4 linked regions of the Caenorhabditis elegans genome follow. The protein of the gene in region 1 purifies or fractionates together with the protein of each later gene. This does not show direct contact. Each region holds a gene or a part of one and is shown on either strand. Other genes may lie near its edges.

Region 1 (11,153 bases):
CTGGAAAATTCAATTTTTAGGGTTATTTTTTAGCTTTTTAAAGCAATTTTTGCACCAAAAACCGCCAATTTTTGAGATTTTACTATACTTTAGCAGTCGAATCGTCCTCCAAAGCGATAGTTCCAGTCTGCAAATCTTTCATCAAATCATTGCAAGCCATGAACCGGAAATCCTTATCCGGATTCGACATTTTGTCGACCAGTTGCCCGACATGATAAGCACTCATCTGGAAACAAAATTTGGTCTGAAAATCACTTTTCGGGGTCTGAAAACGTGAAAAAGATAACCAAAAGAGGCAAGAAAATAGACAATTTTGGGCGCCAAAATAAGTGATCAAAAACTCTAAAAACGAAGTTCATCGGGTGTTGGTAGAGAACAAAATCTATGAAACTGGGTCAACAATTGAATAAATCCGGGAAAAAATGAAGGTGACTATGGGAGAAATTAATGAAAAAAAAACAGAAACAAGGATAACAAAAGGACAAAAACGACGAGAAAAATGCGAAAAAAAAGAAGAAAATTATCTTTGGAATATCAGAAAATAAGAATAAAAACAACAAAAACTGGAGGGATTTTTGTCTGAAAATGGTCTGAAATTGACGAAAAAGGGTCGATTTTTTCGAAAATTTGACTCAAAATTTGCAAAAATCTGAATTTTTCGTTTTTCTGGCGGATTTTGGCAATTTTTTGAGTCAAAAAATAATTTTTTGGACTGAAATTGGTATTTTTAGGCCAGTTTTTGGGAAAAAAAGCTTGAAATATCGCAATTTCAGATCAAAAAATAGTTTTTTGGTGGAAAAAGCCATTTTTTACATATTTCGCTCAAATTTTGGATTTTTAAAAACATTTTTGCCTCAAAAAAAAAAACCACTTTTCGGGGTAAAAGTGTTCCTTTTTAGGCATATTTTTGGGAAATCGGCTGAAAAAATGAGTTTTCTGGCGCAAAAATGTAAATTTTAAGATAAGCAGCTCAAAAAACGGCAAAAATTGAAAAAAAAATCGAAAAATACCAAGTTTTGAGCGTTTTCCCGTTTTTCGCACAAAAAATAGCTTTTCGGAGAGCAAAAATCCAAAAATTCAGCAATGTCAGCTTGAAAAATGGATTTTTGGCTCAAAAACTGCAAAAAATCCAAAAATTCAGCGATTTCAGCTCGAAAAATGGATTTTTGGCTCAAAAAAAGGCAAAAAATCGGTCAATTTCTGCAAATTTTAAGACGATTTTCTGACAAAATCATCTACTCAACTACAAAAAAAGTGAAAAAAAACGACGAAAAATTGAGGAAACAATTAATGGAAAGAAGCCAATCTCTGAGTTCCTGGCACAGCATTTCCCTCGAGTTTCAGTTTCCCCAACATTGCTCCAACAACATCTTCACGCTTCTCCTCCGAGTCATTCTCTTTTGTATGATGAAGATGCTCCTCTTCATTTACAACTTGAAGAGCCGGACTTCTTGACCCAGAGAAATATGAATTAAGTTGACGAGTTGCGGCAAGCAGAAGACCGAAGAATGGTGGAGATGGAGTGAGTGGATGGGAAAGGTATTCGGGATGGAATTGGGCTCCGACAAAGTATGGGTGGTCTGGAATTGGAGATAAGCTTCAAGGGGTGCCGGTTTTTTTTAATTTCGACTTTTTGAAAAATCTTCTCAAAAATGAATAAAATAATGTTTATCAGCATAAACAAAATTTGATTTTTTTTTAAAGTTTGTTCATCGATTTTCACCAGAAAAATTTAGATTTTTAGGAAAATAACTTCCAAAAATGGAATTTTTGTTAGGTTTTTCGGACCAAAAAACTTCTTTTTTTTTCTTCAAAAATGTTATATTTTAGTTGGTATGACGATAAAAAACCAACAGTTTCTTTTTTTTAGCCGAATTTTTTTTTGACAGTCTTGTTAAAATTTTTCTGAAATTTCAAAAAAAAAATTGTAGATTTGTCCGGAAAATGGCTTAAAATTTGGGCTATTTTTCCCACATTTTTGAAGAAAAATATCGATTTCCTTATAGTTTTTACTCGTCAACTTGAATAAAAATTATCAAAAAAATGAAATTTTTTTTTTTTTTTTTTTGATTTTTCGAAAACAAAGTCGATTTCTCGGAAAATAGCTGAAAATTTGGGGTGTTTTCCCACATTTTATAAGAAAATAATATGCCTTTTTATGTTTTTCTCCACAAAAAAAATTTGATTAAAAAATCGAAATTTCTCGATTTTCTCCAATTACACCCTTGGTAAGAATTTTTAAAAAAGTAGAAAAATACGACTAAGAGAAAACGGCCTAAATTAAGAGTGACAGGGCCAAACCAGCAGATTTTGAGAAAAAAATTAACTGTTAGCAAAGAAAATTGCGTAACCACTTGCAGAGAGAGAGTCATCAATTTCAAAATCAAATGGTTCGCAATGGAGCGCGTTCGCTCTCTCTGAAAATTGCCAGGACGCAATTTCCAGAGGTAATTATCGATTTGGAGCAACTAAAGCGAGAAGAATATCGATTGATCTCATGAAATAGCTTGTGTAAACTCGAAATATGCTAAAATAAACACATTTTGAATTGAGATATTTTAAAAATGTTTCAAAACTTTTTTATTACGGTTCAAACTTTCGAACTAATTAAAATTGATTTTTAATTGAATCTTGTCTTATTTCTGTCATTAATAGCACGTTTTTTCGTTGATTTAGGTATATTTAAGGTCTATAGGTAGGCAAAATGCACCTGGAATAACGAAAAATGTGAACTAATAAGCAATTAAAAATCAATTTTTCGGCCGCTTAATTAGCTACAAGCTGGGCATTTTTTCATAATTTTTAACCGCCATAAAACATTTTTGAAACATTTTTAATGGCAAAATCTAAGATTTTAGCCTTTTTTTTCTTAAAATTTGAAGGTTTCTGTATGAGAATCTGTCTGCCAGGGCTTAAAAATTGAATTTTCGTCCTTATATTTACCCTTCATCTCGAACATTTCCATACGAACAGCTGGCCGAGTAACCCCATCGCCTCCTCTCTGACACAAATCATCAATTTTGTGCAACAAATCAATTTCAGTCTGATCAGCCATCTGCATAAGCTCCGCCGAGCTGTCGGTTCGCTTCTTAACATCCCAAATATCAGTATTCTGTTCATCTACACCCATTCCGACGAACAAGAATCCCTTCCGAGCCATTTGTGGAACAACGTGGGGATTCACTTCGTAACGGTGACGGTGACGTTCTTCCACTGTGTGAGTTCCGTAGAGACGGTCTGGAATGAGAAATTTTTTTTTTAATTCTGATTTTAGGCGGGTTTTTTTTCAGCTTTTTCTGATGAAAATGGCAATTTCTGTGCGTTTTAGCCTAGAAAATCGCAAAATTTAACGTTTTTTTCCATGTTTTGCACCTAAAAAGTCATTTTTTCAGCTGAAATTATTACTTTAAAGCTTATTTTCCGAAAATAGGCTTAAAAAGTAAAAACTTTTTCAATCCGAATTTCTGATATTTTAAACTTCTTTTTTTTTGTTTGAAAATAGGCCTAAAAATACCAAATTCAGTCTAAAAAATAAATTTTTTGTCACAAAAAGTTGCTAAAACCGCAACAAATTGAAAAATTCAGATTTTTGCAAATTTTGAGTCAAATTTTCGAGAAAAAAAACCGCTTTTTCCTATTTTTTAGGCTCTTTCAGATATTTTTTCGACAAAAATTGCAATTTCTGTTCGTTTTTAGCACAGAAAATTGCGAAACTCGGCGTTTTAACGAAACTATAACCAGAGTTTTATTTAGAGGACGTTCTTCAGTTCTTATGCGAATTTCGACGCATTTTTCTGAAATTTTCAGCTTTTTGACGTATTATTCCATTAAAAATTTCAATTTCTGTCCGTTTTAGCCGAGAAAATTGCGAAATTCGGTGTTTTAAAGCAATTCTAGGGCTTTTTCACCTTTAATGCCAATTTTCTAAGCATTTCCCAGCTTTTTGTGCTGTTTTCAGTGTAAAAATGCATATTCGTCGGTTTTTAACACAGAAAATTCGATTTTCTGGACGAATTCCCGTGTTTTTCTGCCAAAAATTACAAATATGTTAAAAGGGAGGTAGCGAACGTGAAAATGGCCACAAAATTCCGAATTTTATAGTAAAACAGCTTTTAAAAATCTCAACAACGCAAAATTCACCAAAAACTCTCATATCGCAAGCTTCACCTTGTTGTAGCTGTCGGAAATAGGTTTTTATTCAATTTTCGCTTTTTTTGGATCATTTTGGTGGGGTTTTCCAGTGTTTTTTTCATTTATTAGGGTACATTTTCAGTCGATAAAAGGAAAAACGAAGGATAAACGAACAAAATACACAATAAATTGCGATAATTGAATAAAAATCTATTTCCGGCAGCAACGACAAGGAGACCTTGCAAAATTGGAACTTTTCGCTAATTTTAGCGTTTTTCCAGATTTTTACTATGAAATTATGTATTTTGTGGCCATTTTGAGTCTCGCTACTCCACTTTTTGTAATTAATTTGCTAAATTCATGGAAAATTCTAATTGTCTGTGTAAAATACAGGTAAAAATCCACATTTTTACGAGAAAAACCAGCACAAAAACCTGAAAAATCAGGGTTTTCCTGTTTGAAGCCTTCAAATTTTGCGGTTTTCTATGATAAAAACGCCAAAAATTGCAGTTTTCATAGGTAAAATTATCTGAAAAAGCTGAAAAACAACTCCAATCTCCTGGAAAACGTACGAAGAATGCATTCGTCGGTAAGGAATACTGTAGAACGTCTTCCAAGACGCATAGTTCCACCCAATCCCTTCTCTTCAACATTATGTTCTGGCATATCGATCACTGAAAAAAAATCAATTTAATTAATGAATTAATTATCTTCAGAGCCTACCAATCTGCTGATTTTCGTGCAATTTCGAGTTAAATTCCGTCGAATTGGCTCCGTCGATGCTCAGAACATTTCTAGCGAATTCGATAGCCGCCACTTGCATTCCCAGACAAACTCCAAGATATGGAACATCGTTTTTTCTACAGTATTCTGCTGCATTGATCATTCCTTCTACACCACGTTTATCGAATCCTCCGGGCACAATTACGCCGCTGAAAATTTGAAATTTTTGATATTTTTCGGTTTAATACACTAAAAATGGCATAAAATCCCGAACTTCAAAAGAATAATCAAAAATTGTCGTCGAAAAATGGGAAATTAAGTAAAAATCTGTGAATTTTCATGTTAGAGCGGCTTAAAAATGGCCAAATATCAATGAGACTTCTTAAAAATTACTCATTTCCCGAAAAAATGAATATTTCTAGCTAAACTCTCAATTTTTTCCCAATTTTTCCATGTCTCAGCGGCGGGAAATACGATTTTTTCAAACTTTCATCGCTTTCACGGGATCAAAATAATATGAAAATTCCCAAATTTCGACGAAAAAACGGAAATTTTGAGTGTCAAAAAAAGAAGTTTCCCCTTTTTCGTCGAAATTCGGGAATTTTCATGCTATTTTGACACAGTAGAATCTATGAAAATTTAAAAATCGAATTTCCCGCCGCTGAGACATGGAAAATTTGGAAAAAATTGAGAGTTTAGCTAGAAATATTCATTTTTTCGGGAAATGAGTAATTTTTAAGAAGTCTCATTGATATTTGGCCATTTTTGAGTCACTCTAACATGAAAAACCCGTAAAGTCGCAGATTTTGGCTTAATTTCCTATTTTTCGACGACAATTTTCGAATAATCCTTTAGTGTCAAAAAGTGTCAAAATACAGTAAAACATTTGATTGGTTAGAAAATATCTTTAATTTCAGTTTAAAAATGTGAAAAATGGCTCAAAAATGCATTTTTTGAGCATCTTCGCCGAATTTTTACCTGTTGAGACCAATTTTCGGTCTCTCCAACATGAAAAATCGGAAAAAATTCCATATTCTAACAAAAAATTTAGCTTTTTTTTGCCAATTTCAGTCCAATTTGACTAGAAAAATTGGAAAAAATCGTGATTTCAGCTAGAAATACGCCGTTTTCCGAGAAATTTTAGCATTTTTTTCCTTCTTTCCACATACTCAGCAGCCTTCACACTATCCCAAGCGGCTCTCGACTGTTCTTCCATTCCTGGCTTATTCTCCAAAAGCTCCGAGTCGACGTAGGTTATCTTGAGCTTCCGTTTGGCGTGAATAGCAGCATGAGACAAAGCTTTATTGACTGAAGCATAGGCATCGGCGATTTTCACGTATTTTCCGACGAGTGCAATATTCACAACCTGCTGGAAAGTATCACAGAGCTCCGATAGATTAGTCCAGTGATTCATGTTGAATTTCAAATCTTTTCTAATATTCTCAGAGATTTCCGATAATCTGAGACGCTGAGTAATCGCTTCCAACACTCCCTGCTGCTGGAGAAGCAGTGGAACCTTGTATATATTCGACACATCATGAACACCAACCACCTGCTCCAAATCCATCATTCCAAACCCGGCAATCTTCTCTCTGAGGTGAGGATCAAGCTTCTCAGTCGAACGGCAAATCAGAAGATCCGGCACAAGACCGGCGGCCCGCAAATGGCGGACAGAGTTCTGCATTGGCTTGGTTTTCGGTTCACCGGTGGCGTTTGGATGTAATATCAGCGAAACATGAACATTCATCAAGTCATTCTTAAGAGTTGGACGTTGGAATCGTTCGAATGCCGAGAGATATGTCATTCCTTCTATATCCCCAATAGTTCCACCGAGTTCAATGATACAAACGTCGGGTTGCTCACTGGTTCCATCAACAGGGATCCGCGCAACTCGTTCAATCCAATCCACAATAGCATCGGTCAAATGAGGGATCATTTGAACAGTTTTTCCACAATAATCGCCTCTTCTCTCGCGTTCCATCACGTGTTTGAACATTTTTCCCGTCGTAATATTGTTATCACGAGTCAGACGAATGTCGAGAAATCGTTCATAGTTACCCAAATCCAAGTCAACTTCTCCTCCATCATCGAGAACAAAAACCTCTCCGTGCTCATACGGGGAGAAGGTTCCGGCGTCTTCATTAAGGTACGGGTCGATTTTGATCGCAGAAACCTGGAAAATGCGGCGGGTTTTTGTGTTAAACGATGGAAAATGAACCGAATATAACTGTAAAAAATTATTGAAATTCAGAGCAAATGCGTTATTTGGCTGTATTTTTGGATATTTTCTTCGATATTTGATCAAAAACACTATTTTTCCACAAAAAAGATAAATTTATGTGAAATTATCGACTTCAGGTCAATTTTGAAGTTTTTGCGAATTTCTTTCGGATTAACGCGAGAGAAACCCGGTAAAACATCAAAATTGGGCTAAAAATCGATAATTTCACATAAATATACGATTTTTTTGCGGAAAACTGTCTGAAAAGTTGAAACACGGTGTTTAAAATCAAATATTAGGGAGAAAAACGGAAAAAAAACCCAATAAATATACCGAGACAACGTACTTGTCCGGGAATTCGAAAAATAACTCCTTTTTCTCGAATATTTGCGAAATCATAGCAAATTTATACATATTTTAACAGTCATATTCTGTCATTACGGTCCATTTTCTATCATTTAAGCACTAATTTCAAATTTTCTGATAAAAAATAGTGTTCGCTAGCGAATTCGCTTATCAGTTTGCTCCGTTTCTGATCCTTCAAGGAATATGCCACATATGTCGATCGCAATTACCTTGTATCCATTATTTTTGAGCAAAACGCCCAAACTCGACGAAATGATGCCTTTTCCGACGCCAGAAATGACTCCGCCGGTCACCAGAATGTATTTTACGCGTTTTTCGCCCGGCATCTCTGTAATAGACGAGATAAATTGATAAAATTCGTGTTATGAAATTAAAATTTCACATTTTTGAGGTCAAAAATCAAAAAACGCGAGTGTTTTTAGGCAAAAAATGGCAAAACAAATTTGTTTTTAAATTTTTTTCGCGGGCACGAGAAACGCGCCAATGACACTGGCACGAAGTGCGCCAGCAGGCACCCATGGCGTGACTTTGCCTTCGATTTTTGTATTTAATATTTGCGTTTTTTCTTTTTAAGTTTCTCGTCTTATTTTGATACTTTGTGATCTTTTTCGCTATTTTCTTTTGTTAAAATCAAAAATTTAATTCTTTCAGCCGGCATTCGCCCTATTTTATGCTCAAACAACTGCTCCAAAGGCTCACCCGAATCATGACAAAAACCGTTGAGGAGCAAACCGTCGACAAGCTCAACCATGTTCAATCGGGTGGTGTGCACAAGGAACCTAAAAAGCCAAGAGTAAAGCAGGCAAAATATGCGATGCTTTTAGGCTATCAAGGCAAAAAATACTACGGCATGCAGGTCTGATAAGATAAAAAAAAGGTCAAAATTGATAAATTTTAATTAATTTTTAGCTTCAAAAAGACCTGCCCACAATTGAATCAAAGCTTCTTGAGGCAATGGAGACGGCCGGTTGGATCACGACCGCTCAAAAAGAAAAACCATTTGATTTCTTTTTTCAAAGAGCGGCGAGAACTGATAGGGCAGTATCAGCTGCTAGACAGGTTGGAGTTTACTAATTTGCTGCTGTTATCAGTGTTTTTTTCACTGAAAAGCCGAAAAACTTCATTGAAAAAAGGAAAAAATAGCGAATTTTATATCATTTTTCCAGATGTGCGGAATGCAACTACCCAGAGATGACGCCAAGTATCAAGCTGAGGGAGCTGGAATTCTTAACAACATTCTTCCAGCCGATATTCGTGTTTTTGGAATGCGTCGGACCACGAATTTCTTCCATCCACAGAAGCAGTGTGATCATCGAACCTATAGCTACACGTGTCCATCTTTTGTGTTTGCAAAGCCTACGGAGGTATAGAAGAGGCTAAATTTGGATTTTTCGCCGAAAATTAGCTGAAAAATTGAATTTCCCGGCAAAGTTTGACCGAAAATTTTAGTTTCACGCTGAAAATGTGAATTTTCTGCGGAAATAGACTGAAAAATCAAGTTTTCAGGCGAAAAAAGACTGGAAACCTGTATTTTCGGGCAAAAATTGATCGAAAAATCGAATTTCCCGCTGATATTCCGTGAGAATCTCTAAAAATTCTTGATTTTCCAGCTCACCAACTCCTCTTTCCGACTTTCCCCGGAAACCTTGGCAGAGGTGAACAGTATTCTCTCAATCTACCTCGGAACCCACAATTTCTTCAATTATACCGCTAAAAGAGCCTACGATGATATGAGCTCCAATCGATACATTATCTCATTCGAATGCAAAGAACCATTCCTTTTTCGTGACGATTTTCGTAAAGAAGACGTGGAATTCGTGCAAATTGTGATTAAAGGACAATCATTTGTACTTCATCAGATTCGAAAAATGGTCGGAATGGTGATTACAGTCATTCGGGAACTGCATTTAAAGTCGTCGATTCAAAGATCATTCGAGGGACAGCGAGTTCGTGTTTTTTTCCTGTTTTTTCGGTGTTTTTTCAACTTCAAACAGTCGAAAAAACACAATTTTTAAACATTTTTTCGATATTTTCGCGTCGAAAGTGTGAAAATATAACATTATTTGTGTTTTTTTAAATCTTTTTCACCAAAAAATATTTTAAAAACCCTATTTTGAAGCGGCAAACGCGCATCGTTGCGAGATCACGCGCACGAGGTACATGTCCCTTTAAGAATTGTGTAGATTTACGCAAGCGTGTACTCCTCGTGGACAATTTCGAATTATTTTCCGCAAAATTTAACAGTTTTCGCGCAATTTTGCCGCTTTTTCACGAGTTTAACACCTTTTTTAGACGAAAATAATTAATTTCTAACGAAATCCAAATGAAAAAGAGATTAAAAAGTGCAAAAATCTAGCATTTTAGCCGAAAACTTTTAAACTTAAAAAAATAAAAAATTTCAGATGGATATCCCAATGGCTCCAGGACTGGGTCTCCTCCTCGAGCGGACTCATTACGATTCCTACGATCGAAAGAATTCAAAATCCCACGAACCACTGACCGATTGGGGAGAGATCATCGAAAAAGAAATCGAGCGGACCAAGTTCGAGCTCATCACCAAGGATATGATCGAGACGGAGCTGCTCACTCAGGGAATGCTCAAATGGCTTGCGGATCTTGTTCATCACGACTTCACGGCTAATGCGGAAGCTGAGGAGCCCGAGAAGAAGACTTTTGTGACGATGGCGGCGGCTTGTGCGAGCAAGGCGGCCAAGGAGCAGGATGGTGTTGCTCCAGAGGCTCAAGATGCTCCGAAGGAAGCCGAGGCTCCAGCAGAAGTCACTCCTGAGCCAGTAGCAGCGACGTCGTCTGGATAATTTATAATTTTTGATTTAACTGCTGTAAAATTTGTTGTTTTTGTTGATTGATAAATTGTTTAAAAGTAAAAAATAATAATAATTTTATTATTTTGAGAGAACACATAATTCTCAGACAGACAACAGACGACGTACTACTTGGCATATTCAATAATTATTAATAAGTGGAACGAATGGAGGTGAGAGCCGCGTGGGCGAGCAGAAGACGTGAAAGAAGAAGTGCCTCGTGTTGGCGGCGAGCATCAGCGATGAAATCGGCAGCAACTCTACGGGTGGCCCCGTCGGTCAGCTGAAGAACACGAATCGCGTCGGACTTTTTGCCAGACTTCCAGAGTTGCTCGGCACGTGTGAGCAAGGTGAAGTTGTTCTCGACAGCTGGGGTCAGGCTGAAATTATAGTTTTTTTACAGATAGATATCATTTCAGACACTACTACCTCTCATTAGCACCCTTCTTCGGGACGAGCTCAATAGTCAGGGAAGACTTGAGCCACGAGTAGAGATGAGCCAGAGCTCCACCTTCATTGACATAGGCAACACGACGTCCGATTCGGCAGACTTTGTTGAAGCGTGTGTTCAGATCCTGCTCCGTGTACTCCCCGCGGACTTTTGAGGTTTTCGACATTGCCGTATTGATGGTTTTCACGAATTCATCAGAGTTTCCACCACCACAGCACGAGAGAAGTGTCTTCATTTGATCTCCCAGTGGAGCACGTCTTCCCTCCATGCAGCAGCTGGCTCGATTTCCGAAAATTACAGTTCCCTTCAGATTTTGGGTGGCTAGCCACATTTGTTTCGATCTGGAAAAATGGTGGGATTTTTTTCAGATTTTGATTCAAAACATTTTCGCACAAGTTGGCGGATTTTGATTGAAATTGTCGATTTTGGACTGTTTACG
Region 2 (6,618 bases), on another chromosome or scaffold:
ACTAGTTTTGCATGCAGAAAAGTTACAACTTTTGCAATTGTATCTGCTTGTGATTTTTAAGTGACTCACTTCAATCAATATTTAGAGATTTGTTGAAACCTATATTTGAATTATCAAAAAAATATGATTGATTGTGAATTCGTTTTTTGTGCTCCGCTGCGCCCAACTGGTATGGGACTCCCCCTCCATTTGAGCAGTTTAGGGCATTTCCGATTTTTTTCATAGAAAACTAGTTTTGGAATCGGGTTCAGCATACTAAAAAACCTATGAGTCTATAATTTTTTCCTGATATCTCAAAACTTGAGAACAAAAGAGCAAAAAGTTGAAAAATCGACCGCCCAACTGCTACGGGAACCCCTGAGATTTTCGATAATTTTGACAAAAAATCTCATTTTTTCGAAAGAAACCAAATTTTTCAGTTTCAAAGTTTCATTTCATTGTGTAATTCGGTGGTGTACTTTTCATTTTTCATATCATGGAAATAACTGAAAACATGCAAAAGCACGATTTTTAATATTTTATGATCTTTAAGCCCGACTTGAAGCAACTGAGTTGGCTGACAATTTCAACAACTGTGAGCCATTATAGAGCCAATATTGTACATAGCGTTTACCAAGCTTTTTGGTGCCACTCGACTTTTAAGCTCATATCTGAGCAGCCGATAGAGCTTTCTTTACAAAAATTTACAGACTTATGCTGAAAAATATACAAATCATGAACCATTAACAATAGCTTTATCAATCTTCAAATAAGTTTGGTCTTATTTATTTCATATACGCAATGAAACTAAGTTTATTTATGTTTTCGAATTTTCGATTTTCGATTTTCGAAATATATTTTCAGAAATCCCAGAAATATTTCAGGAATTCGAATTGATCACATATCAGATACCAAGGACCGTCAAATTATTTTTGTTCAAAACCCGCCGCTAACTCTCGGAACATAGATCCGATAATTGCGTTATGAACTCGAAATTCGACACATTTGTTTAAGCAACGTAACTTGTATGATTTAAATTGAAAAAAATAAATAATTCTAGATTTATTTTTAGACGCGCCTAGAAAATGAGGTCGTAAGGTTTTATCGAATCACTTGATATATCTTAAAATAACAGACTTATCTCTCTATAAAGTGCTCACAAAGTTCTGACGTTTTTCCCACAATCTTTTCCTTTGCGAATCCACGTTAATTTTTAAAGCTTTTTACTTTTCAGTGTTCAGAAGATTGAGGTTTTTGTGCTCTGAAAAGTTCAACCCAACCCCAAAAACATCATTTTTAATCTGGTACAACATATAACAGTTTATGTCAAAAAATCAACAATTTTCTTAACGGCGACGGTGGAATGTGCGCTTGACCTTTGGCTTTGGTGGGAGGATGATTCCGTCATACTGAAAATTTGAAGATGAACAAAGGTATCTATGAAGCGAAAATTTACCTTCTGTTGGAACCACTTGATGGACTCCTCACGCTCGACTCTGTGGGATGGTCCGACACGTCCTGGGGCGCGTCTTCTCTTGGCGATACGGCGTCCAGCACGGTCAAGGACAACGTAGAAGTCCATTCCGTAGATTCCGATCGATGGATCGTACTTGATTCCCAAGTCGATGTGCTCCTGCAATTCATTAATACTTACAGCTGACTAGATCGCTTCTGCAATGGTTACCTGGACTCCGAATCCGAAGTTTCCGGTGTCGGAGAAGTTCTCCTTGTAGAGCTCGTACTCCTTGACCTTGAGTCCCTTCTCGAGGATTTCCTCGGCCTTTGGTCCGCGGACGGTGCAGTGAACGGCGATCTTTTCGTTTCTGCGGATACCGAAGGTACGGACGGTGTAGCGGGCCTTGGAGAACACTGGGGTCTGTCCAGTGAGCTGCTCGAGCACCTGAAATAAAATAATTCAGTTCATATTCTGCAACAAGTGAAAATTAACTTACCTTAGCGGCACGGGTCAGTCTATCTCCAGACTCTCCGACGCAAATGTTGAGGCAGAGCTTCTGGATCTTGAGCTCACGCATAACATTGCGGGCCTTCTTCTCGCGGATTTCCGTCTGCTTCTCGATGTCACCCATGTCTGTAAAGAGGTAAATAACAATAAAATAATTTTAAATGTAACGGCACAAATTAACAAAAAAGAAAATTGCAAATTTCTAACATCAGAGAATTTCAAAGAAAAACCCAAAAAACTAAAAATAAACAAACTAATAAAGGTTTTCCACCTAAAAATCATCTTCTAACTAATAACCCTAAATTAAAATAATCACTAACAAAAACGCGAATTAAATTATGAAAATCCATTGAACAAAGCTTTCGATTGAAAAAAGTTCGAGTCATCCAATTGTAAAGGGCCTAAAATTTAACAAGAAAAAAGGAAAGATCGGAAATTCTCCTGCAGAATACGAGAGGCAAAATGACTACGGTAACACTCGTTTCTGGCTGTGTGTCCTGCCTGCACATCTAACTTTACGCTGGCAGAATGCCAACATCTCTCGCGTCATCTCGAGTCTCCCACTTCCAAGTGATATTTCCTTTGCAAACCCGGGGGTCTTTGCGTTTTTGGGCCACACATACAAATTCGCTTGGCAGATGGAAAGCAATCGATTAGAATCTGTACAGGACATGTTTCCACGGAGCCGCCGTTGATTTGGTAAGACTTTGGGCCTGAGCCATTATTAAATAAATTTAGTTATCCGGACATTTTTTTATTGTAAAAAAACGGTATTAAATGTGAAAAATTGAACAAAAAAGGTCCAAATCAGTAAGATATGCAACAAAAAAGGTAATGTAAAAAGAAATTGGAATGTGTTCAAATGAAAACGTTTTTGGAGCAACAGAAAAAAAGTAAAGAACAACCGGTCATTCAAAATCACCTAAGACAGAAATTTGGAAATGAGGAGAACAGATAAGGAATAGGTTGACAAGAATTTTGAGAATCACAATTGAAAGTTAACCGTTTCAGAACAGAGATCTATTGATGGAAGCAATTGAAAGAAGGCCGGAAACAAATTTTTGAGTAAAATGAAAAGGAAAGCAACTAGAAGTATATGATAACAACGATTAAACTTCATCCACTGGATTTTCATGATTCTCGTTTCCAAGAAGGACGACAGCTCTGCAAACGGAGATTATGATTGACTTTTGAAACGGAGAGGGGAAAAACTCACTGATGACATCGCTTTCCGTGAACTGAGACTCGAACGGTTGGAGAGTCGCCAGTGGAAGTTGGCGATAAGCTTGATCTACATCCAAATAGTCGGAGAAATGCGTGACGGTATTCAGAAGAACACAGAGCATAAAGGTAGAAGTTGTAGAGATAACTGAAAACGGGGAAAGGTTTGGAACCATCTTTCAGCTTTGAGCTCTTTTCATAAACTACTGAATTTTACAAGAAGTGAAAAAAACCATAGCATGTATTGAATTTTTTGGAGAGTTGAAAAAAGAAAAAAAGCAATTAATTTTTTGTTTTAGGTAGCCATACCTTGTGACTTGAAGAAGATTTGCAATGGCACGGAATATCTGCCAAAACAATGAACCACTAACTCGTCTGAAATGCTGTCCAGTTCAAAGAATTCTCAAAATATTAAGACTTACCGAACGAAGAAAGATATAACGGAGGCAGGAATATTGCAGATGATAAAAGTAGCAGATGTAACGAACAGAAGAACTGATATACGACTGCGATCATCGCGCGGCGACCGAAGTTGGCGTTGAGCTAATGTTTCAGTCCGACTGTTTTGTGATGGCTGTCTCCAGAACCAATTACGTTTGTCAATTTTCCGCAGGCCACGAACGACGCACATGTTCAGGATAACAAGAAGTAGAACGGGACCCCAGCGGCAGATACACTGAAAATTAAACATAAAAACTACTTTTAAAAAAATTCGATTCACTTACTTCTCTTACTATAAGATAGAATTTAAAAACTTGAAGTGCCTCCACATCTTCGTTGCGAACAATTGTGTAGATCGTTCTGGAAGTTGAAATTACACAAAAAAATCTGTCTAGAATATTAACTCACTTGTTGGTGAGAGCATCCGTCACGACACCAAGCTTCTTTTGGAAGACTGATGGAAAATATATCATCAGTGCAATAAAGTAGATCATGACAATGATGAGCATGGTACGACGACGGGATGGCTTTGTCTCATTGTTTTGAAAAAATTTAATTGGATGACAAACTGACACATATCTGTCCACTGTCATGGCAACAATATTCAACGCACTGAAATAGTTGATTTAATTAATGACCAATGTTTTGTTATAGACAATGCTGTCCAAAAAAAGTTATCCCTTTTACTTTTTAAAAATAAATTTGCTAATTTTTCCAATAAATATAACTCCGAGACTAGAACTGCTATCGAAAAAAATTCTACCAACAAGATATGGCCCATTCCCTAAAATTATGGCAAAAACATCTCACGTATCCATTATTTTTTTAAAACGACTGTAACTCAAAACGCAAGGGCAGTTTGTGAAAAAAAATAATTTTCATATAATTTTTCACTGTTAACAGTTATCTTTTTTTTTAATCCATATGGAAAGAAGATATTAGAATTCAAAGTGGAGAGGTTATTCGAGCGCATTTCTCATCGAAAAGGGACTCACGAGATGTCGGCCGCTTTATTTTTTTCCATGATTTTTATGAATAATAGAAACATATAATATGAAAACAATTAGACAAAGTCATGGGATATATATTTTTTCAGTTGAACATTTTTTGAAAACAATTCTAGTTTTGGAGCTATACTTATTTGAACTATTAGAAAAATTATCAAAACACCAAAATGGGATATCTTTTTGACCACGTACATACCTTGCAGAAATAAGTGCGTTTATGAGCGGAAGCTCCAAATGAGCATGATAAAACATCCCGAGCTCCCATGATGGGTCTATCAGCTTGGCATGTCGGAAAAGAAATGGGATAAATGCGACAATACTTAAAATATCGGCAATAGCCGAAGCTTTCAAGTAGAGGAATATGCTAGTTCGAATGTGAAGAAGTGTGCACACATTCAGACATTGATTTATCATTCCTGAAATATAAAAACGTATACTCTCAGAATGTATAAATGAAAATACCTATGGATAAAACGATTGGCATAACGATGACATGGGCGACATAATCGACATGATTCATTTCGGGAGAATCATCCAATGAAGTGGTGCGGAAGCTGAAATATAAAACAAATACAACTTTTTTAAAAAAGGTTTTTGATTATTGGATATTCATTAGGAATTCTCATTTCTGAGGATAGAAGTTTGATGATTCTCAATTTGGATATTGAACGTGGGAAACCCCCCGGCAAATGAAAGTTAGCATAAAATATGATTAAACTTAATCTCAAAGTTTCGTAATGGCCTATAGAACTTTGTTACTTGCAATAGCATCGAAACTACAAAAACATTTTTAGCACCAGACACTATTAAAAAGTTCAGACCTAAACGGTTTACTCCCAAAATGCAGGAAATCCGTTACACCTCCATGCCACTAGACATTAAATTCTGTTTGAAAAACCAGATCCGTCAAAATCGAGATGTTTTCAAAAATATCAAATCGAGAATGGTCGAACAGTTGTGAAAAATCTTTTTTTTCTCTAAAAAATGGGAATAACTCAGTTTTTGCCACTTTTTTGGAAGTCATCGCTCAAAAAAATGTTATCTCCCAAGTTTAAAAAAACTGCCACTTTTTGACAGTTAGAAAAAAAGTAAAAATTTTTTTTTGAAAGGTTTACTAAGATACTCAGTCGTTTTGGAACCATATGAGTGGTTGCTCACAATAACCCCCAAACATTAATAGTATTAGAATATTATTAGTAATAGTATTAGAATATATAGCCGAATATTCGAATCTCGGTAGTTTCAAAAGTATAGCATATTTTGGAAAATATATTATTGATTTAACCTATATGTTTTAAAAATTCTCAAAGAAAAAATTGTTTTAATTGGACTCTCTCAAAAATGCCTAAGTACGTAAAAAAAATCTGATTTTTTTCTTTAAATGTGATTTTATAAAAAAATTTGAAATGTTTCGCCTTCTTAAGTAAAAAGTGATTTTTTTACAGTTCCGCATAATTTGATCAAAAATTGATTTTATCTATACTCTACAGGACAGTTTAAACCTGCAGCAATGTTTGAAAGTACTTAAAAAGTTTGCATTTGTGAAAAATTTGCTACTTTGACTGAAACGTTTAAAAAGCCTAAGAATTTTCGAGGATGTGCAATATTCGGCCATCGTGGACAATTATATATTCAAAAATACAATTTATTAAAACATTGGAATATGTAGATATTAAGGTTGCAAAATGGCAAAATAAAATGCTGTGAGCACTAAGCATAGCGTTCACTTACAAAAAGTGCACCAATCCCGCGTTATAGACGATAGTGAGGAAAAGAACGAGTGCTTTCACAAAAAGTTTGTACTTATATCTGCAGTCGAAGATTCTACGCAGCAAGAACAACAACATGGACGCCTAAGTCCGTGATATTTCTGTAAAAATACATTTAATCGAGAAGAAAAGAAGTTAAGGCGGCAAGCAATATATTTATATTGTTCGTGGAATAGGCGGCATCGTGCCATTTAATCTTGCACGATTACTGGTTTTGGCGTTCTCGGAAAACCGGGCG
Region 3 (7,560 bases), on another chromosome or scaffold:
GAATTGATCGGGTTGACCGTTTCTTATAACGAGATGTTGTTGGCCCTGCGTCTCGTATTCTCGATTTGTCATTCTTAAAAATGGCAACAAAGATAAGAGGTTGAAGGGAGAAGAAACCTTCGTCGAAATGAGTTCTTTGGTGGTGAAAACGTGATTTGTTTGATCTGAAGAACAAGCATAGAACATCATTTTTTTTGATCGAAATGAGTCATGTAATGGATATCGAGTCAGAACACAAGAAAAGGAAAAAAGGGAATCTAATAAATAATTATAATCACATTTTTCACCTAGGAACAGAAGAAAATGAAAGCGTATTATACAACAAAGGCTGAGGGATATTTTAGAAATGAGATAAAATTTAAAATTTTTAATAATAAATAAATTAAAATTGAATAATATTACACAGAAAATGTGCATTTTGGCCGAAATCGTAGTTGAACCGAACGTGATATGAGAGGAGAAGGGACAACACAGGAGAAAATATTTTCAACAAAAAAGAAAATAGAACCCATTTTTGGTGAGATTTTTGGGAAGATCCTGAACTTTTCAGACGGGGTACTTGGATTCTGGAGCAAGGCGATCGAGGACCTAAAACTTGAAATAATTGATAAAAATCCTGATTCGTTAGAACTGACCTGTCGGATTCCAGGAAGATATGTGATTGTTGAGATTCCGGGGATACTTCTGAGCAAATTGACAATTCCAGGCAGGAAACCACTGTAAATTCATTATTATTAGATTAAATTTAATTTCGTGAGCGATTAGTTCAAAATGTTTGTTACAAATCGAAGAAAAAGAGCAGAAAATTCAAGATATTGATTCTATTGCAAATATTTAGAAAACTCAACATTTTTTAGTCAAAAACTCACCCGAAAAGGACAATAAATCCCCAACACTCGGCAATCATTCCGAACAATGGGTACCCAAATAGAACTACCAAAATCCCTGAAAATAAATTTTTAAATTAAAATAATGAATTCCTTGTGATCGAACCTCCGAAGAAGAGAATGCTTCCTTTCAGTTTTCGGAATTCGAAGAAGAAAACAAGTGTTCGCTGCACGCCGATAATAAATGTGATTCCAACAATGAATAGAAGCTGAAAATAATAATTTTATGCTTTAAATTTACAATAAATACTTACATTTCCGATAGCTAAAAGAGCAGAATCAAGGAACATCAGCACTCCGAGAAATATGAAAAAGAAGCCGAACGTCGTTAACCCCACTCCGATTTCTGAAATGTTTCACAGTTTACATATATTTTCTGATTTTCAAACTTACGTTTTGTTGTGCTTACTTCGAAATTCATCATTTTGACTGGACCCAAGTGGTTTCTCTTTTAAACGGCTGAAAAAAATTAAATTCTCAAAAGAATCGGTCATAGAAAAACAAATAGAAGAAGATTATTGATTTTTTGAAATAAATTTGCGTTTCTTTTTAGCAAATGAAACTGATTTTATCTCGAATTGAAAAATTTAAGCGAAAAATCGGAAAATAAAACTGGAAATTCCGCGGAAATGACGTGTACGTAAAATTGCGGACCACGTGGCCGCCGTGCATTTCCGCGTGGCCTAGAAACTCGCACATGGCCGAAGTAGCGAAAATCGGCGGGAAAAAGGAAAATTTAAATTTGAATGGTAAACTTTTGAATTCGTAGTATTTTCGCTCAATTAATACGATTTTTATTGAGAAATTGGACAAAAAGTAACTATGTTGGTTGGAAGTGCCACAAAAGGCATTTTTGAGATTTCAAATCGATATTTTTTCGAACAAACAAGACTTTCCAATTATTTATTGACTATTTCCAAAGGTACAACGTATTAATAAGTAGAACATCAGTTTTATTAATCGAAATTACTTGAAATTTTAATCCAAACGTCATATGAGTAAACCGATTACAGTTATTTGGAAGCTTTCTGAAAAATATTTCAGTGTATTCGAAAATCACAAAATTTAAAAATCAAATTTCATTATTCAAAACTTGGAAAATTGACCAATAGATTGAAAAATAAATAAGAAGATAAAAATATTATTTGTTCTCCAAATTTAAAGTGGATGATTATTCAGGAACTGTTGAACGGCGTAGTACATTTGTGGAGCTCTCCATTGTGGAGCCATATGTCCAGCTCCGCGAATAGTGATGAAACTGAGCCCATCGAAAAGTGTCTTGAATCCGGCGATTTGTCTATCATACTTCCATGGAGTCTTTTTAAGTGTTCTACGAAGTCCAAGTTGATCAGAGAATTGCTGTCCCATCATAAAGTTGCAGGCCATATCAGTATCTCCATAGTACAAAAGAACTCTGACGTGGTTCTTGACGATCTTCTTGATGAATGGAGTCATATCGGTGTACTGCTTCTGGTAGGTAGTAGTCACCTTGTCACTGAAAATTTTTGTTTTGATCTCTGGGCTTGGGCTCTTTGGCTCAGGCTCACCTGCAGATATCCCATTTTCCAAGATTGAATGGAATGTGGATTGCCTTACGAACCTTTGGATTGTTCATATAGGAGAGCATCTCAGTATCGTTGAGGCATGGAACATCAGCCTTAAGTGGCTTTTGGGATTGAGATTTGTTCTGAAAGATACAAATATGAAGTGACTGCTATGGTGGTAATTATTGATCAAATTAAAAAAGTTTTAAATATGCAATTTGACCAAAAAAAATTCTATAACCTTTTTCCTATTTTAATTTTTTTTACTTGGATGGCAAAAAAATTGTTTGAATATAATCCTTGCAGGGTTTCGTTCACAAAACAATTTTCAAAGTTTTCAAAAAAAAAAACTGCTGATAATGATCTCATGACCGTGACACCTACCGTGACACTAGGTGAAAACTGAGTACTGAAAAATTTTCTGAAAAGTTTTCCAATGATATTTTTACATTTTCCCATTGCTGCTACCCCACATACTTTCAAAAATTGATAAAGGGAAGTCTTTGTTTGATTTTTCAAGAGCTCATCAAAATGGGCCATTGCTGGAGCAACTCCTCTCAACATGTGCTTCATTCTCTTGCTGTTCACTGATGGATTTGGATCACAATCTCTGTACAAATCATATGGATTCAATCCTCCGAACCACAAGAATTGGAAGATGTCCTCAACGAGAGTTGCACAGTGTCCGGTGACTTGAGTCAAATCACATGAATCAATGCATCCTCTGCAGCAATCTCTCTCAAGAGTATTCCAGATCTTCTCATCAATAAGTCCGTGTCCATAAGCAAATCTGACAGAGGTATCAATGTTAAGCTTCTCATTAACATATCCATTTCCAAGTGCCATTCCTTTCAAGTTAATTGGGAAGTCCTTTTGTCCATCAACAATTCTTGCGGTAAGAGTTGGAACATAAACTCCTCCATAAGACTCTCCCATAATGAATGTCTGATGATGACGGAATTGTGGGAATTCAGTGAAGAATTGTTTGACAGCTTCGTAGTTCTCAAGAGAAGTCAAATCATCGTTGGTTGTGATGTTTCCATCAGTGGCATACGAGTAACCAACTCCAGCTGGAGACTCAATATAGACAACTGAAGCCATTTTGTTCCATGAGTACTCGTTTTCACGAAGAGTCTTTCCATCTTCATTGGCAACATATGGTCCCATTTCATTGAGAAGTCCGTCCAAGGAAGAGCATCCTGGTCCTCCGTTGAACCAGAAGATCAGTGGGTCGTTGGATGGCTCGTTTTGGGATTCGACGAACCTGGAATAATGATTTAGGATGATTTATTAGACAAGCCGGTATGAAGGCAAGCTCGCATTCAAAAGATTTTCGTTGTGTAAGTTGTAAGATTTTCGTGTAAGATTTGTTGTGTAAGATTTTCGTTGTGTAAGCTTCTGAACCTATTTCACACCTTGAACACTGTTTCAAACAACCTTTCGATCGACGAAAAATTGAAAAGGTACAAGACTTTTTTTACTTTCATGCTAGTTTGCACTTTTTAGGCTAACTTCTGTCCTTCATACTCACCAATAATGAAGCACATGGTTATCCGAAACTTGGAAGAATCCGGAATAATGCTTGAAATTCGGCTCAAAGTCCAATCCTGGCAAATCCTTGATCTCTTCTCCACAGGTCACCCCGACGAAGAAGGCGAGAAGCAGAAGGGTTTTCATACCTGAAATTCAATGAATTAGAGGTTGAGCATGGAACATGACAAGAAAGAAAAACAGATATCTTGTGATGTTTGTCTGAGACATTGGAGAGAAGGAGGCGGAGTCTCGACTGTCCCATAGGGGCGGAGCCAGAAGAAGGCAAAGGACAATTTGAGGACAATGTGGATCTGTGAAGATTGGGGAGATGGTTGTGCACAAGATTTGAATTTGAAAAAAAAAAGATTTGATTTTGATAAGATAGAGATCAAACGACTAGTGCCATCGTGTACTCTATAAATTTCTGTGAGGCAGGGGAGAACCAGCTTCAGGAAATTTAAATTGTCTATTTTTTGTAGTCGTAGAGTACTAAATGTGGGCAAGTTTAAAGGTCTTTCTTAGCTTTCCTATTGGAAGCAGGTACTAGTTAGTTAGAGTCCGCTTTAAGGCAGGTAGGCAACAGGTGGAGTACGGAAATCTGACACATTTTTAGACTTGAAATGGCTCAAAACTATCGAATGTCGTAATGAGACCTTATGAAAAATTCTCAAAAAACGTTATTGCTCTGGCCTCTGAAATTTCTATTTTTGCCAACTTGCCAAAGTCAGAACAAGAAACGAAATATTTCCAGATTTTCCGATTTTTTATTAACGAAACTCTTTCAAAAAATTTTGCGGCGCAGTCAATTTTGGTTGTCTCATTTTTACCTGTTCAATAGAACATTTCTTCCAGAAACTTTTTTATCTTTTCTGATTTAAATTCTTTATTTCTCTCACGCCATGCTGAAGGAGCCAATATTACAACACGCAACGCGATCAACATTCAATAAATCAATTTATATCAAAAAGATTGTGGAGAAGAAAACGAGACAATCATTTTTGCAAAGAAATGAAGATAAGAGAAAATATTTGTGAGCAACGGCGGGTTTTTAAGCAGGCGAGTGATGGATTGGGGTCAATTGAATGAGGATCGGTAGAGGCTGGCACCGATCACTGTTGGCCACTGGTCGAGTCAATGCCAAACACCACAAAGTGAACTTCCGAGTTGGTGAGAATCACAAACTTCTGAAAAAAGAAAACATTTTAGGTGATCGCCAGGTGGCCAGAAACCATGAAAAAAAACGTTTAGAGTTGTGGATCCTGATTTCGTTTTAAAAAAATTGGGGCGTCAGTTCAAAGGCACAGGCTGTTTTCTGAGTGACTCTCGTCATGGATTGAATTTCCCTTATTTGTTCAATTGATATAGAAAGAGATTAATTGGCCAATTTTTTGTAAGACAAAACAAACGTTAAATGAAAGATAAATGTTTTTAGAATCTGGGACCGTGTTTGGCAGATTTTAAAAACCAATTTTTATATTCAAAATCTGATCTTCCATTTAACGTGTGTTTTGTATACCCAGAAATCATGTTATATGCTTATTATTTTCTTTGTTTCATACCTGAGAATATGTTAAAAGTAGTTTTGTGCAATGGTTCAGGTATGTTGTGAATAGTTGATCTCGATATTTTCTTCTAAAAAATTTTAGTACCGTGTAAACAAAGACTGCAACTGCATACCCATTAGGTTTCAATTTCCAAACTGAAACTACGCCGGCAGAAGTTAAGGAGTACAAATTCTCCTCGTCGCAAGCCACGTCTACTGTATATTCAGACGATCCAAAGCAAAGTTGATGAGATGGATTTCTGAAAAAAAACTGTTTCTTTAAAAATTGAAGCTCAATTAAATTGCATACTTTGGTTTATCTTTTTCCCAGACAAAACAAGTTTGAGAAAACTTATCAAAAATCATGAGCCGATCTTCTCCAAATTTTCCAATATCTCCAGTTGTGATAGTCTGAAAATATAATTGCTAATTTCCGCTAGAATTGCCAAAATGACTTTTTCTGTCTCATAGTTCTCGTAATCCAGTGGAGAATCTGATGTGAAGCTAGAGATAAACTTGTTCGATAGCACATAAATTCGATTTTCAATTACGAAGCTAGAAGAGATTGGATTCAGTAGTGGAGAGCACTCGAAAATTCTGAATATACATTTTTACAATATATCTCTGTTTCCCTATTAAAAACCAACTTTTCCTGATTCTCCAAAATAGTAACTTTTCCGGATCCATTCATATAACACGGACTTCCATTTAAAACAAGTAATGAGACGACATCTGCCACGTCATCATAGGTTATCATTTTCTCCAAATCATCAATTTCCATCATCAATATTTTCGATGAGGAGTAGAGCTGGAAAATGTGTACTGATAATCTTTAGAAGTATAGATACTTGCACACCATCACAAAATTATGGCTCGAATATAGGCGAACTTTTTGATGCGCAAGAAAATAATCATTTTCGATATTATGTAAGATACTTTTCTGAAATAAAGTTAATTTGATAAATTTGATAAATTTTTTGTAACTTACGAGGAGATTTTTCAAAGATCTCAGTTCAACAAAGTATCGGTTTTCTTGAGGTAAGAAAAGTAGAAGAACGAAGATATTCTGGAAATTTGGGGTGTTTTGGAAAATTTTGCTAATAAAAAGTTATTGTGAATACACTATGAGGATGTCCATTTATATTTAAAAAATCAAATCTTAAAGTTAGAGTCTGTAATGAATCTGCAAAATGCGTCAGTGTTGCATGTTCTCCCGATATTTTTTATTCGAACTTGGTGATAAAATATGGTAAAATATTTGCTTTATTTGAAAATAATTTTAATTTTATTCAAAGCAATTGAAAAATTTCTCACTTCTCAGAGACGTTTGTGAGAGAATCCACGGAATAAGGAAGACGCATGGAATTCTACAACACTTTCCAATTTTTCATTCAATAAATCAGATACAATTTCCTTATACAGAATCCTTAACCTATACATCCTTTTTCACATGGATCCGATTTCACGGGTGTGCTAAATTATTGTTACAAGAGAATCAGAGAAAAAGAAGCAATGATTGAAAAGTGAATGGAACACACATAGTCTGCGTCTAGCCTTCTTCGTATTCTGATTCTGAATCTCGACGGGAATTCCGACGGGAAACGAAACTTAGAAAGAGAGAATTACACTGCGCATCTCTCGTTTTCTATACACATTCTCTACAATTCCCTTCAACGGTTGACCATGTTCGGATAGTAGGCATTGAATATTTTTAGTTAGGAAGAAGGACAGACCTAACACTTATATATCAAAGTTTTTATATAGTCAATTTTTGCCTTAAATGTGGGTTTTAGTTTTAGATAGGCTCTTTTAGTACCCGTAATTTATCTATCAGACTTGCACCCTTGCTCTACTTTGAGAGCCTACATCTCGATTCTGTTTAGGTTTATCAAAAAATTGTCAACTGACAAAATACGTGTAAAATATTTTTCTACATTTAAACAGATTTGCATATTAGATGTAGAACAACTAAGTTGCCGAAACAAATGTTTGCTTCCTGAGGCATTATGCCCACATCGAGAGTTAACTGTATTTCCTCTGTTTCATCAGAATA
Region 4 (7,160 bases), on another chromosome or scaffold:
GACCTCTTGATGGGAGGACGCCCAGAACGAACTTCATATCCGCCTAAATACTTGTGTCGTCCTTCACTTGAAATGATCGAAGATAAGCTCAAAAAATGGTTCGGTCTGAGATTCTGTGAAGAAAATGAATCGTATCCAAGCGAGTTTAATAGTGTCACCGATTACGAACTTCCCGAGTATATCATGGCTGAAGTGCGCGAGGTAATTTTGAAACAATAGATATTGCTTATTTTTGTTCATAGCTTTCAGATAAGAGAGCAGAAAGAGAAAGAAACACAGACAACGGGATCGTCGAGTCGGAAAAGAAGAGTACCATCCCCAGAAGATTGACAGAAGAAGATGAAAATTATGACATTCAAACTTAAATGATCTCTCTATGATTCCTTCTACGCTATCTAATTATAATTCAATGTGTACCTTTCTTTCATATACCAATTGCAAAATATCATGTTATGTATTCCAATTTCTGTTTCGAATAACAATTATCATTTTTCATAGAAAAAATTTATTGGATAGTGTAAGACACAATTTGAGTCGATTAGTTAGAGGTTGTGGTGGAGACGAGTGGGCAATTAAAACTAGTACCGGCTTTCAGATTTGAAACAAATGCATATCATAAAATGATTGAAAAGTTATACTTTTGGAATGGCAATCTTCAAAGCTTGATCCAAATCAGCAACCAAATCATCGAGATCTTCAATTCCAACAGAGATACGGATAAGGTTATCAGTGATTCCAAGAACAATTCGAGTTTCAGCAGGCACTGAAGCATGAGTCATGATAGATGGAAGCTCGGCAAGTGATTCATATCCTCCAAGAGATTCAGCCAAAGTGAATACTTTGAGAGCAGAAAGGAAAGCACGACTCTCTTGAAGTTCTCCTTTAAGATAGAATGAGATCATTCCAGACATTCCCTTTGTTTGTTTCTCATGAACTTCATGTTGTGGATGAGATGGAAGAGCTGGATAGAGAACTGATTCGATACGATCATTGGCTTCAAGGTATTTGGCAACAGCAAGAGCATTTTCATAGTGAGCTCTCATTCTGATGTGAAGAGTTTTGAGTCCACGATTAACAAGGAAGCAATCAAATGGAGATGGGACTGCTCCGACGGCTGAAAATAATAGCATTAAAATTTTGAGTTAACGATTAATTTAGCTATCCAATGAGATTTTAAACAGTTTTATAATTTTGCGACATTTGACTCAAGGTACATGTTCTCGATATGAGCGAAACTTTGCTTCTACAGTACCCACAAGTATTTAGCAATTTTTTTTATAGTTCCAATGTATTTTATATGATTTCTAAAGCAGAGAAACTGATTTCTTTTCTAGAAAAACACGAAGAAATTAATATTGAAATTCAGTGAAAACCGTTAAGAAAAAATTCGAAGCACTTGCGAATACAGTAGCTGCCAAGTTTCACTAGCTTCAAGACCGGTTACCGTATCTATGCCTCAAAATGACAAAATTATACGACTAGATTTCACTGCGTACAACAGCACAGTAAACTAACCAAGTTGCATGAAGAAAAGATGTTGTTGGAACTCGTCATTATCAGTGATAACAGCACCCATAACAACATCAGAATGTCCATTAATATACTTGGTAATTGAATGAACGACAACATCCGCTCCAAGAGAAATTGGGCGTTGGAAGTATGGAGACATGAAGGTATTATCAACAACTACAACAATTTCTGGATTGGCTTTCTTTGCAGTTTGGACCACTGCGGCAATATCAACAACCTTCAAAAGTGGGTTAGATGGAGATTCAAACCAAACCATCTTGGTATTTGGTTTGATTGCTTTCTCGAGATTCTGAACATCCGTCAAATCAACCGAATCGACTTCCAATCCGTGATTAGGAACAGCAACACGGCGGATATATCTTTGAGTACCTCCGTAGACATCATCAGAGCACACAATATGATCTCCGTACTTGAGAAGATTGATGATTGCGGAAGTTGCGGCAAGTCCTGAAGAGAACACTTGGCAGTGTTTTGCGTCTTCGAGAGCAGCCAGATTCTTTTGAAGAACATCACGAGTTGGGTTTCCAGCACGAGAATAATCGTGTCCCTTTGGCTCTCCTGGATTATCCTGTTTGTAGGTCGAGGACAAGCTGATTGGCGGGACCACCTGAAAAGTATCAGTTCAGTATTTATATTCAGAATACCTATGACAAACCTGATTCATATCCCATTGCTCTGGTTCTTGTCCAACGTGGATAGCAGCAGTTCCGAAGTGTGGGAAAGTAGCCATTTTAATCTTGAGACAGGCTGCAATAAGAAGACTGATGTCGAGAAATGATAATCAAATGGATTTATAAGTGTGAGAGAAAGAGGAGAGAAAAGAAAAAAGAACGAATGAAAGGGGCGGGGTCAAACGAAGGGTCGGTCGACACGCCGAAAGTTTCAATGAAATCGTTAAAGAAAAAAACGTTCTTGACATTGGTCAAAAAGACGTTAATCTTCTATTATTTTTAGATTTTACAGAATGTAGCTGATTAGGCAAACAAGATGTTAAAAACGGAAGAAAAGAAGAAAAATAAATAGTGATGTGCAAAGAAGGAATGAACAATGTTTGATACTATTGAATGATGTACACATCTGGAATAAACACTCTTATCAAATCTCCAAACGAGACCATTTTGCAGAAAAAACCGGATATGAGAAGAAGCGTGGGAAATTGAGAAATTTGAAAAATAAAAGATAAGATTAACGACTGATAGGTGGCGTATTTTTCATACTTCAAAAAATAATATGTATTTGGCACAAGTTTGGTAATAAATTTGACATTTCTGGGGATTCTGTGGTGTTTTTATATGTTGGTTAAAAACAATTTTTATTGCTCAAATATGGTTTTTTCGTGAACAGCTGAATATTTGTAAATTCTATAGTATTTTTTGAAAAGTTCGGAATTTGAATTGTATAATGTCAAGTCACATTCTACGAACCAGAATCTTAATTTTTAACATGAATTGGCCTAATACTAGTAATAGAAACATTTTAATAGAAACAGAGGTTTCTACAAAAATACATTAATCCTACAGTACCCCGACCCTATCCCTCCCTACTAATATTTGTTTTTATAGTAAAAACTTAAAAATCGTGGAAAATGTTATTTTGATCGACTTCCAAAAGGATAGAAGAGAACTAACTTAAGTAATTACAACGTTGTATAAATAATAGAAATTTCCGAAAACATTTAAGGATGTATAAAAATTTCTATATTTTAGCACCATAAGATGAGTTTTTTTGAAAATCTCCACTGGCTCTGCATACAAACTACAGTAGGCCAACAGTATCATGACAATGTATCAGCTCAAGTTCACAAAGAGTTCTTGCTGCAATTATTTTTTTTTACAAACTATGAAAGTCAGTAATCATAAATGTATTTACTAATGACGATCTTGAAACAAAAGATAACACAGTTTGACGTGACTTACTATTAGAGTTTCCAAAGTCTTGAAGGAATTTTAAATTAACTGAAATCACGTAATTGTGCAGTTTGAACACTATCTTAATGTTTATTTTGTTCCTTCGTTTAGTTGATATAATATTTATCACATGTTACAGTTTTTTTTTTCAAAAAGTTCAAATTCCAGTGCCAATCACCCCACGTGGAGGTCTACCATGTGGTATTTTGTTTGAGAAACATGTCGATGAAATCAAATCCTCAAAGCATCGATTTCTCTATGTCTCGTATCATTTTTTCGTTATCAAAAAGAGAGAAGAATTTGTCTCATTCTCTCGTTGTGTCTACTGCAAACCAGCCACATGTGTGTCTCGAGCAGTTGGACAAAGGGCACCAGAAGGAGAGAGTTCAAGTTCAAAATATCATTTGGAAGAGGCAGATAGGGATTGAATACATAGAAATGATGATAATTGTGACGTGTTTTTTAATTGGCAACCTTGGCGTGGAAAAGATAAGATTTGAGACGACATTTCATTTGCAGGAAGTCTTGAATTTGGAGGAGGAGGAAAAAGAAAGCGAAAGTTTCAATTTATTGATCAATTGCATTTTCTTCTAGATTTAGAAATAGGTAGAGTTGCTACCAGTAGGTTTACATTTTATTGCTTGTGATCAGAAAGCAGGTTTTACCAATTTGCTACTTGAATGAAAAATTAATTTTTTAAATGTATAAGTACCCATAATTTTAGATTAACTAGATTAACTAACTAGATTAATAATTTTCACCAAAGGTGTAAAAATGTGGAGTTGTTGCCGAATTTGCCAAAACATTCACTGAAGGATCTAATAAACCTCAAATAAATAATTATTTTGAAAGCTATTTTCAATTCTATCAGAACATTCTGAAGGTGACCTCGTATTCTTAAACCAACCGGAACTTGGCTGAAAATCGAAAATTTAAAATGTTTCATGTCTATACTGTCGTAAAAATTAAGCCCACCTTTTAATTTTAATAATAATAAGCAATTTATGTATTCTGGATACTAGAAAAAGTAGACAAAAAATGATTTTTTAAAGGTCTGTGAACATACTTACTTATATCATATTAAGAAGTAGAACAGCAAAAGATTATTGAAGTTTGATTCTCCGTTTTTTTCATTAAGTATGTCAACAATTGATAAGAGTTCAGTGACACATACGTCACTATCTCAAAAACATTTGTCAGCAGAAATTCAAATTTAATTTCAATTTCAAGATAACAAACCAACCTCGCCATGTGCTACTCACTTGATAAAATTATAAAATTTTTACGATTTGAAAATTAAATAGACATAGAGAGGAAAAAGGTCAGAATGGCATGTCTAGTGAATGCTCCTGCGCAAATTTATATGGACGCTGCTTTGCGTCCGCTCACCTCCCGCCCCTCAATCTGAGCGGCACGCGGCAGACAGTTGCATCAGCCGTTTGGAAGGAATGGAGAATGTTGATAGATGTGAAGAGTTAGAGATCATAATGATTGAGAGATGAAGAGAAATGATATACTTTACAAAAAACTACTGGTCGGATGGATGGGGACTTTTGAAAGTTGAAGAGCTCTTTGAAAAATAGAAAACTGAAAAAGAAAATTGATATTTGACAATTTCAAGTTCAGAATGCAGAGGACATTTAAAATTCCTAGAATTTTTGAAAATATCAGTGTAATTTTCTATTTTCAGCTGAAAGTTAAACTCAAAGTTAAAAAAAAGTGCAAATTTTTTATGCTTGTTAGTTGAAAAGCAAATAGACATATTGTCTAGCAACTGAACTTCATAATTCGTCCTTTTATATACGTTTCCTTCCAACTTTTCTGATTTGTCATTGTCATCATTTGACCTCCTCGTGTCGATTTGTGTTTTGTCATCATTATAGGAAAAACATATGTTTTTTTGTAGTAATGAAATGACTACGATGTGTTCTTTAGAAAAAATATTACGAGTTTTAGAAATTATTTCATCAGCAATTGAGGATTTGATTAGGAATTTTGATGTTTATGGTTAATTTGGCAATTAGTACATGGAATTAAAATAAACTTGATCATATACAGAAAACGAAACGAATTGGTGGAAAATGAAGAGTAGAAAGAGAAAGAAGAAACTAGAGATGGAAATGGGAGAAGCGGATGGAAAATCGATGCGGAACAGAGAAGCGGAAAGCGGAAAAAGTGTGAAGAGGAGAAAAGAGCACAGAGAAATTTGAGCATTCAGCATTGGGATTGAAACTTTACGAAGTTTACAGATATTAAAGACATAATAAACAACAAGTGAAGTTATTTTGGTAACTAATAAAAATAAATGTAATCACACCTTGTAGATATTACAAACTTTATAATTGCTCGATATTTCTCAAAATTAAATAAAAAACACTCAAAAATTTGGCAGTTTACCAAAAACATTTTTGGCACTTTACAAAAACTTTTATTGGAATAACCTATTACAATATTCGATCATGTTGGTTTATCATAAATATTAACAGAAAAATTTTCACTTTTCACTCTCCGCCAAAAATTAAATTTTGATTATATGGGCTTCAGACTTTTTACTTCGTTCTGCATTTGGCCATCCATAAAAGACTTACAGGATAGCTAGGTTTTCATTCAGATAACTGAACATTTACAAAGGAATTCATAAGAATTTCAAATAACTGCGTTATGATAACTGGCAAAATAGTCATGGGATGATGCTTGATTTTAAAAGTATCAAAATAACTTTGATTTTTCTGCGAGATCTATCAATACATTTTGAATAAATTGAATCAAGAGAAACCGTGAATACCTTCTAAAAATTATGAAAATTATATAAATCTAGAATAATTCAACGTGACATTCTAGTTTACTCTACAATTTCGAATATCAATGATCGAAAATCAGTTTGTATTTTTGTTCATTACTCAAGTTACATCGACTATTTGATATCATCGCAAGAACGTTTGACACCGATTCAGTTTTCTGATAAATGTAAGTTTTGGGTTTTGGAATTGTTGAGAAGTAAGAACAGTTCTAAAACGATGTGTACGTATAATGGCTCACAAACGCCTTTGTAAGTTGCAGTGTGCACTTTTGTTGTAGACGTACGTTCATAATATCCATACTGAAAGGCTTTTGATGGATACACCGCAAATTGACTGTGTCTCAGAAAATTTCTCAACTTCCCGTTTTTGGAGAGAAAAATAAGAATTGATATACTTTCGGACTAGTCTGGTTGTAGTAAATTTCAAAAAATCTCAGAATCCACAGCTGATAGATTGAAAAATACGTCTGCCACACTTTTTGCCCATAATTTCAAATCTCATTGAGAAAAAAAACGCGACTTAATAAGTGTTCAACGTGGTTCTAAAAAAGCGAATCATAAGTTTAAATCAACTTTATTGTTATCTTTTTCAAATATAAAAATTGTCAACAATTTTTCACCAGTTTATTTTTCGTGGATGTTTTAAGTTGACAAGAATTAATATTTCTAATAGAAAATCAAAGAAAATTACATTTTCAGATGGTTTTCGTGTCCAAAGCTGCTTCAGTAAAGCTGTCAACTACTACAGTTCATGAGAGAATCTTCGAAGCTTGTCGCATTCACGCTTCAGCTAACAAAGATGCCGTTTGTTTTGTGAGTTCTTACCTTAACAATTTTTATTTACGGAATTTGGATTAATGGTAGAATAGGATTGGAAGTTGTGTCAGACTATCTATTGTAATTGAAGATCAATATAGATTGAA

Evidence for each region.
Region 2: the proteins of ctps-1 (region 1) and rpl-11.2 fractionate together in Caenorhabditis elegans (co-fractionation; one large-scale study listed by BioGRID). This does not show direct contact.
Region 3: the proteins of ctps-1 (region 1) and ctsa-1.1 fractionate together in Caenorhabditis elegans (co-fractionation; one large-scale study listed by BioGRID). This does not show direct contact.
Region 4: the proteins of ctps-1 (region 1) and cth-2 fractionate together in Caenorhabditis elegans (co-fractionation; one large-scale study listed by BioGRID). This does not show direct contact.

Annotation. Positions count from the first base shown.
Region 1 is NC_003283.11:16,791,947-16,803,099, reverse strand, and holds ctps-1 (CTP synthase), read right to left. Parts: upstream 8,193-11,153; coding exon 8,141-8,192; intron 7,770-8,140; coding exon 7,651-7,769; intron 7,028-7,650; coding exon 6,024-7,027; intron 5,064-6,023; coding exon 4,855-5,063; intron 4,806-4,854; coding exon 4,704-4,805; intron 3,238-4,703; coding exon 2,944-3,237; intron 1,581-2,943; coding exon 1,288-1,580; downstream 1-1,287. Other genes in the region: cand-1 (Cullin-associated NEDD8-dissociated protein 1), read right to left, coding at 89-226; pus-1 (Pseudouridylate synthase 1 homolog), read left to right, coding at 8,148-8,297, 8,351-8,500, 8,608-8,805, 9,052-9,387, 9,844-10,257; immt-2 (MICOS complex subunit MIC60-2), read right to left, coding at 10,415-10,643, 10,693-11,055.
Region 2 is NC_003284.9:2,240,551-2,247,168, forward strand, and holds rpl-11.2 (Large ribosomal subunit protein uL5B), read right to left. Parts: upstream 2,069-6,618; 5' UTR 2,067-2,068; coding exon 1,932-2,066; intron 1,880-1,931; coding exon 1,664-1,879; intron 1,613-1,663; coding exon 1,436-1,612; intron 1,389-1,435; coding exon 1,326-1,388; 3' UTR 1,188-1,325; downstream 1-1,187. Other genes in the region: putative G-protein coupled receptor AH9.1, read right to left, coding at 3,052-3,106, 3,159-3,311, 3,473-3,538, 3,586-3,839, 3,889-3,964, 4,013-4,216, 4,808-5,027, 5,074-5,165 and 1 more. UniProt on the Caenorhabditis elegans protein: Component of the ribosome, a large ribonucleoprotein complex responsible for the synthesis of proteins in the cell.
Region 3 is NC_003280.10:4,734,198-4,741,757, reverse strand, and holds ctsa-1.1 (Serine carboxypeptidase ctsa-1.1), read right to left. Parts: upstream 4,111-7,560; 5' UTR 4,109-4,110; coding exon 3,963-4,108; intron 3,696-3,962; coding exon 2,909-3,695; intron 2,575-2,908; coding exon 2,435-2,574; intron 2,383-2,434; coding exon 2,046-2,382; 3' UTR 1,956-2,045; downstream 1-1,955. Other genes in the region: eas-1 (putative Golgi transport protein 1), read right to left, coding at 547-588, 636-717, 870-945, 994-1,096, 1,142-1,233, 1,281-1,311; F41C3.7 (WD_REPEATS_REGION domain-containing protein), read right to left, coding at 5,074-5,148, 5,524-5,596, 5,642-5,767, 5,818-5,918, 5,963-6,104, 6,155-6,315, 6,364-6,447, 6,496-6,573.
Region 4 is NC_003280.10:7,055,684-7,062,843, forward strand, and holds cth-2 (Putative cystathionine gamma-lyase 2), read right to left. Parts: upstream 2,278-7,160; 5' UTR 2,261-2,277; coding exon 2,186-2,260; intron 2,138-2,185; coding exon 1,516-2,137; intron 1,115-1,515; coding exon 633-1,114; 3' UTR 501-632; downstream 1-500. Other genes in the region: ZK1127.3 (EAF7 family protein), read left to right, coding at 1-201, 243-365; acs-6 (fatty Acid CoA Synthetase family), read left to right, coding at 6,937-7,050.